Danio rerio: one gene and its partner. The main gene of each other region encodes a partner of the protein of the gene in region 2 in a complex. Links are inferred from orthologs where the notes say so. Each region holds a gene or a part of one and is shown on either strand. Other genes may lie near its edges.

Region 1 (3,655 bases), on a different chromosome or scaffold from region 2:
CATAATCAAAATTATTTTCACATAATTTACAGTGAATTTTATTCAGTACAGTTTTTTTCCTCAACACTAAGTTGGACAGATTTTTCTGAGAATTGTAATGTGCTATAACAATAATGTCCTAATTTGCAATTTGCATTTACAATTGTATGCAAAAGTTTGGGCACCCCTCTGTGGCTGCATAGTAATGTGCTCTTTCTTTATAAGAGAAGATCGGTTTCCATTTGGCTTCTAGAGAAAGCTACATGATGTCATGTTTTTCAGACAGAAATATGTAGTGTAGCAGTATTGAGACGCATGAAATTTAATTGAAACTGAAAAATAGACTATGCAAAAGTTAGGACACCCTCTCTTTTGTGCGAATTTTAAAACCTGAAGTCACTTAATGCTGATTGATTACAACACAAAATTGATTTGAGTGACAATCCTAATACAGATGCAGCCAATCATGAAAAAGGATATTTAAAATAGCTGATTGCTAGTTGTGCTTCTCCTTATTGGGAACTACAAAGAAGCAACATAGGAACCTCAAAAGAACTTCCTAATGACCTAAAAATTAAGACAATTCGACATGATTTAGGAGAAGTATGCAAAAAGCTATCAAAAAGTGTTAACGTCTCCACAGTCAGAAATATAGTAAGTAAATGGAAGGCCACAGGAACAGATCTTGTGAAGGAAAGATGGGGTAGGCCAAGAAAATTATCTCAAAGGCAAAGAATAGTTAGAACGGTCACAAACAAACCACAGATCACCTCCAAAGATTTCCAGGAATGTCTTACTGCTGCTAATGTCACTGTACATCGTTTCACGGTTCATCTCAGTCATTCACAGTCATATGAGGTATGCAAAGGCTCATCTAGACTGGCCTGAATCGTTTTGTATAAATATACAGTGGACAGATGCTACAATCATGGACGCTTGGCATGGTGGAAAAAAAAACACAGTATGCCAGGAGAAGAACCTGCTCCCTACGGTAAAATTGGTGGAGGGTCCATCATTCTGTGTGGATGTGTGGCAGGCACAGGTACTGGAAACCTTCTCGTTGAAGGTTGAAGTTGAAGGTGGCATGATTGCCACCCACTATCAGCAGATTTTTAAGAACAATGTTCAAGAATCAGTCAAGAAGCTAAAGTTACGGTAGGATTGGATGTTTCAGCAGGACAATAACCAGAAACACAGTTCCAGATCTACCAAGGAATTCATGCTCAGACGCGATGCAGTGTTCTATAATAGACTTCTCAGTTCCCAGACTTGAATATCATCGAAAATCTAGATTGATTTGAAAAAGGCTGTTCATGTTCGGCACCTATCAAACCTGGATGTTCTGGAGACATTTTACAAGGAAGAATGCCCCAAAATGCTTCCAGCAACACTTTAGGGACTTATCATTGGCTATAAGAAGCGTTTACAGGCTGTTTTTTCAGCCAAAGGTGGCTCTACAAAATATTAATTTCATTATTCTGTTGAAGTGCCCAAATTTTTTCATCTCTTTGTTTTTGTTATAATTTAAATTGCATTGCATTTGTTGATTAAATAAGTTTTATGTCAGATCTGAAATGTTGCTTTTATCCTAGAGTATAAAATCTATCCAAATTAAATGGCTAATGGGTTTTCCATGGAACTGTATCATTTATTCATTCAGTTTAATATTGTGGTTTATCAATTAATCATTACAAGGATGTGCTATTGTCACGTTTGGTTCCAGTTTTACAAATCTAAACTAAAGATCTAATTTGTAAAATAAAGAAAATGAATATCAGCTTGTTCAGTGGTGGCTTTATTGTGCTCTCAGGGCGTCATAGAATGACCTGCCGCACATGGAGAGCAGTCCAGCGTGGCACAGTGGCAGAACTGAGACGCTTCTTCATTGGTGGAGCTCCTGAACTCGAGGACATCAGTTACGTCAGAATACCTGGCACTTTTAAGGTCAATCATTATACATTTTCTGCTGTGAAATTTGTGTAATGGCATGTTTAGTAATTCAGTTAAACAATTGAATGTTCTAATCTACTGCCTTTAGGGAGAGAGATTGAGTCGCTTTGGCTTTCGCACTCAGACCACTGGAAGTGTGACCTTTACTCTTAATTGTATCCAGCATGCCAGGTCAGCCAACAGCATCAGCGAATCTTGCATGACTGTATTGTCTCTTTAAGATTGAATAAGAGCTTCTGGTACTATATTCAGGGCTTTTATTGATGCCAGCACACTGAAGAAGAGAAGACAGACTGTTCTGGATCAGTTGGGGGGCCACAGTCAGCAAGGCTCTGTCTATAATGTTTTGGGTAAGAAAGATCTAAATAACTTAAATTGGGGTCAATATTGCTTTCAAAGTTCCCACTAAATCAAAATTAACCATATGATTTTGTTAGCTCACATCTCTGCATGTCATTAAAAAAAAATTGCCCTTCTAATATTTGATTTGAAGTCTGTAAAAAAATTGTCAGATTACTTCTATTTTAGTAATTGAGTGTGGCTAACATATTTAACCCTGCTGCTCCAGTTGTCAGCTTTGACAACAAACAGAAATAGTAAGCAGGAGGAGTCTGTTGTAATAACTCTCCCCAAACCCTTTTCCCAATCTTTCTGAATAAAACACCTACTTTACTACATTCATTTAGCTCGCAGTAGAAAAAAAAGCCACACCCCTGTTACGTCATTTTTATATACTGTTTCTCTAGGGGTAACACTTTAGTATAACTATCCATTATAACTAGTTAACAGATCATTGTTAACTATTAGTTAATGGGTTATAAATGCCTTATTAAATAAAAGTTAATAGTTTGTTAATTGTTTATAACTGTGCCTTATAGATAGCCAATAGATATTTTACAAGCTGTTAGTTAACAAGTTATAAATGACTTGTTAAGTGTATTTTAATGATTTATAACTATACCTAATAAAATTGTATTAGATCATGAACAAGCTGTTAGTAAATCACTTACTAAAGACTTGTTAAGTATCAGTTAATAGTTTTTATTTGTTATTGGGTTGTTTTTCTTAAGTTGCAGCTCTTCTTCATTTATTAACTGTTAGTAAATGAGGAATAGTTGCAACTTTAGAATAACTTCCCAATAACATACCTAAGCTAATAACTAACACTTAACCAATATATTAACTCTCACTTTACAGATCAGTTGTTCATAATTTAACCATCTACAAATACCATTGACAGCAAATGGATGGAACAAGTTGAAGCTACAGAAATTTCATGTGATGTTTAAAATATAACATTTTTGTACCGTAACCTTGTTCCGCTCATAGGCTTTTCTGTGTGCTGTAATTTACCAAAGAAACTCCACAGATGAAATGTTGAACATTGTGTTTAATGTATAGAAACACACATACTGAGCCATCACATGGCATAACAACAGTATAGAACAGAATACAAACCCATAAGGTTTGGGCACTTTTTGTGCTAAACATGAAAACAAAATAAATAAATAAATATTTTATTAGAAAAGTTTGACAGAAGTTTCACTGTTGTTATTAGATGGTAAAGAATCTCAACAATTGATCTGAAGAGTGAGATTTATTATATTAGTTAAGTGTTAGTTATTAGCTTAAGTATGTTATTGGGACGTTATTCTAATGTTGCAACTATTCCTCATTTACTAACAGTTAATAAATAAAGAATAGCTGCAACTTTAGAATAATGTCT
Region 2 (4,365 bases):
CCTTTACAAGAGGGGAAATGCACGTTTTAAAGATTACACTATGTCCATTTAAAGGAACAGTTCACCCGAAAATGAACATTTCCTCTTCCTTTACACACAGTCAAGACATTACAAACTTTTATGAGTTTCTTTCTTCTGTTGTACACAAAAGAAGATATTCAAAAGAATGATGGGGGAATAGCAGCCAATGACATCCATAGTAGAAATAAAACATATACAATAGAGGTTAATGGCTGTTGATTCTTCAGTATATCAACAGAAGAAACTTATACAGGTTTCAAACAAGTAAAGGAAGAGAAAATGTCATTTTTTTGTGTTAACTGTACCTTCAAAATAGTTTTTTTTATTTACTTTTTCTACTGAAACAATGACATTAGTACATTTTAACTATGACATACAGAAGACAGCACTAGTCATTGAGAGTAACAACAATTTACACTGCATGAAATCTTGTCAGGCATGTTCAGAAAATGACTCACTTTATGGCATATTAAATAACTATATAAGAATACAGTTCGACCCCAAACTTAAACCTTTAACTATACTTTGCCACTATCCTTTAGAACCACTAAGTTAGGTTCAACCCATTTGTCTGGTTTATTATAGTTTAAAAGTGTTTACTTCAACTTTACAACTTGACACCTAAACGTTATTGTCAATAACTGTGCATTATAGACTCACCGGACACTTTATTAGGTACACCTGTCCAACTGCTCGTTAATGCAAATTTCTAATTAGCCAATCACAAGGCAGCAACTCAATGCATTTAGGCACGTAGACATGGTCAAGACGATCTGCTGCAGTTCAAAGTGAGCATCAGAATGAGGAAGAAAGGGGATTAAAGTGACTGAACGAGGCATGGTTTTGGTGCCAGATGGTCTGATCTGAGTATTTCAGAAACTGCTCATATACTGGGATTTTCACGCACAACCATCTCTAGGGTTTACAGAAAACGGTCCGACAAAGAGGAAATATCCAGTGAGCGGCAGTTCTGTGGGCGCAAATGCCTTGTTGATGCCAGAGGTCAGAGGAGAATGGCCAGACTGGTTCCAGCTGATAGAAAGGCAGCAGTAACTCAAATAAGCACTCATTACAACCGAGCTCTGCAGAAGAGCATCTCTGAACACACAAAATGTCCAACCTTGAGGCGGATGGGCTACAGCAGCAGAAGACCACACCGGGTGCCGCTCCTGTCAGCTAAGAACAGGAAACTGAGGCTACAATTCACACAGACTCACCAAACTGGACAATAGAAGATTGGAGAAACGTTGCCTGCTCTGATGAGTCTCCATTTCTGCTGACACATTTGGATGCATAGAGATAAAGTTGGTTTTATATTCTCACATTCATTAATTAAACAGTCTCTATATTGTTTACCATGTTTCTTTGAATATTCAATCGGAAGTAGCATGCAAGTATACTTCTAAACAACATTAACACTATCTAATTCACTGTGAACAATGTTGTACTTTGAAAGTCATTGGCTGCCAATATGATTTCCCTATTCAGAATTTGCAAAGAATACTTTTTTGAAATTATATTATTAAGGAGAATGTCTGAATATAAAACCATCTTTACCTCTATTTTGGATGGTCCGGTCAGAATTTGGCATCAACAACATGAAAGCATGGATCCATCCTGCCTTGTATCAACAGTTCAGGCTGGTAGTGGTGGTGTAATGGTGTGGAGGAGATTTTCTTGGCACACTTTGGGCCCATTAGTACCAATTGAGCATCATGTCAACGCCACAGCCGACCTGAGTATAGTTGCTGAACATGTCCATCCCTTTATGAGCACAGTGTCTCCATCTTCTGGATAACACACCATGTCATAAAGCGTGAATCATCTCAGACTGGTGTCTTGAACATGACAATGAGTTCACTTTACTCAAATGGCCTCCACAGTCACCAGAACTCAATCCAATAGAGCACCTTTGGGATGTGGTGGAACGGCAGATTGGCATCATGGATGTGCAGCCGACAAATCTGCAGCAACTGCGTGATGCTATCATGTCAACATGGAGCAAAATCTCTGAGGAATATTTGCAGTGCCACGAATATTTGTTGAATCTCTGCCACGAAGGATTAAAGCAGTTCTGAAGGCAACAGGGGTCCAACCCGATACTAGTAAGGTGTACCTAATGAAGTGGCCGGTGAGTGTAAGTATATTTAACATAGAAATACCGCACTCTGTTGTTACCTGTTTATCATCCCTGACTTTTCCTAAAGACTCCTGCAGTTCTCTCCTCTTCTTCTTTATTTTCTCTCGTACATCACTGAGGACAACAGGACAACTTAAACTTAGAAACAGCCGTAAAACAGAATTGCTCTAAGCTTATACTCAAGTTAACGTATAGTAAAAAATAAAAACAGATTAATGTTAACAGTTACCCTGGCGATGACATTGTGCTCTAACGTTATGCATTAAACGTTACTGACGTCAGAAATCTTCCCAATACATCTCAGATCTTCAGTGTGGACCTCACAGCAGCTCCTGGATGACACGGTTCGTTAATAAAACATTCATAATGGAGGGATAAACTGCATAGCATTAGTTGAGTAAAGTTAAAGTTAGCAACAGCCTTTTATAAAGTAACGTTAGCCGAAATCTCTTATTAACAGCAGACTGTAGTCGCTCGAGGCAGGAAATAAACATTATTCTGCTCAAAAGACAAAAGAGAAACTTTCCAGATTATAGAATTATTCCACTGAAATAGTTAGTAAATGTAATAAATCTGTATTTAGCTTTACCGTCGTGCGCCGTCTCGCTGCCTGGTAACGGGTGTAAATAATCTACAACCGAACATACGGTTTGCGTCCGGATCATCCCTTTCACGTCAGCGTTTGTTCTCATTGGCCCACAGGCCCGTCAATCACCCAAATCTGGATACGTCACGCGGCAGCTCGAGCTCAATCCTGCATGAATATAAAAAAATATTAATATTAATTGTTCATTTTGTGGGCAGCACCCTGAGTCCCTGGTTCACTTATTTTGGCAATGCAATTACTCTAGGTTGCTTTGGAAAGACTTCTTACTTTTTATAATTGAGAATGTTGATGAGGAATTTTCCTTGCTGTGGGAGAATGTTTTGTTTGGTTTTGTTGATTATGGAACGGGGGCTTTACATAAAAAGAAAACATATTTTCTTAATCTTCTTGTCTTGTTAACAAAATTTTATATCCATAAATGTAAATTTTCAAACCAAAAACCTTTTTTTAATATTTTGCTTACTGAAATGCAGTATTACTTTGAAACAGTGTCTAACTCTTTCTCAAAAAAGGCTTTAAAAATAACTGAAATTTGTAAATTATATAATATTTTTCTTTAACGTGTAATGTATTTACCCCTCCTGTTTTTTTTTTTTTGTTTGTTTGTTTATTTTTTTGTTATCTGTAGTTATTTCTTTTTCCAAAAATGTTGTTCTTTTTGTCTCTTCAATTTCTTGTTAACATCCTGTGATTGTATATTCTCATTTTCGTATATTAAAAAAAAAAAAAAAAAAAAAAAAAAAGCATGAGACGCGGGCAAATTCTCCATAGAATTTATCCTGCTAAACATGTTTTGGAAAGAATGAAGCTTAATCTTTCATATATGTGTGCATTTTGTGTTCAAGAAAAAGAAACAATTTTGCATCTTTTTTTATCCATAAAAAATTACAAAGATAGAATATACTTAAAATACTGTGTCATACTCTTTTACTCACATAGCCTACTAAAACCCTCATAAGAACTATAAAACATGAAGTCATTGGTTGTTACAAACAAATTGGACAAAAAAACATTTGCTGTATTTTTAGAAACACTGAGCAGAAAAACAACGGAGATCTGCAGTAAAGCTGTTGAGTTTTTATTTATTTATCTTATTTTTATTTTTTTCTAAAGATTGCAAAATGACCTGATGTGGTGAGTATATATTTCCATGTTCTGTGATGTGTGTTATTTGATCCTCTTCAGATGGTTTTAATCATAATTCAGAAAAGGGTGTTTTCTGCCTTCTGAGCTTTGGCTTTCATGTATTTTTTCTCAACTCCAAAAACACTCCATTATACTCTTATTCATGTGAAGAAAACGCAGAAAAACACTACATTGATGTGCTGTAAAATACAGTAAAAACTGTACATTAAGGTATTTAAATATTTCTTGACAAAATCATCTTTCCATAAAGATAGGGAAAAGAGCTTTCAAATCAACCATGCAACACATGTCAGATTTTTCTTCATAATAATCTTTTACGAGCACTTTTTGACAAATCTTTTGTTCCGCTTCGGGTCTCAGAACAGTCCAGATGGCTTTTCTCTGACCACAGAACAACTCTCCCATGACAAACTGAGTTCACAATACAAGAAGTGACTCATCGACACAATAA

What was found.
Region 1: cc2d2a (region 2) and mks1 share a complex: the UniProt entries of both Homo sapiens proteins name them as parts of the tectonic-like complex. The link is inferred for Danio rerio from reciprocal best matches to the Homo sapiens genes CC2D2A and MKS1.

The regions. Positions count from the first base shown.
Region 1 is NC_133180.1:61,428,735-61,432,389, reverse strand, and holds part of mks1 (tectonic-like complex member MKS1), read left to right. Parts: intron 1-1,789; coding exon 1,790-1,923; intron 1,924-2,017; coding exon 2,018-2,100; intron 2,101-2,181; coding exon 2,182-2,279; intron 2,280-3,655. UniProt on the Homo sapiens protein: Component of the tectonic-like complex, a complex localized at the transition zone of primary cilia and acting as a barrier that prevents diffusion of transmembrane proteins between the cilia and plasma membranes.
Region 2 is NC_133198.1:2,297,219-2,301,583, reverse strand, and holds the start of cc2d2a (coiled-coil and C2 domain-containing protein 2A), read right to left. Parts: upstream 2,807-4,365; 5' UTR 2,751-2,806; exon of another isoform or gene 2,494-2,750; 5' UTR 2,405-2,493; coding exon 2,391-2,404; intron 2,276-2,390; coding exon 2,200-2,275; intron 1-2,199. UniProt on the Homo sapiens protein: Component of the tectonic-like complex, a complex localized at the transition zone of primary cilia and acting as a barrier that prevents diffusion of transmembrane proteins between the cilia and plasma membranes.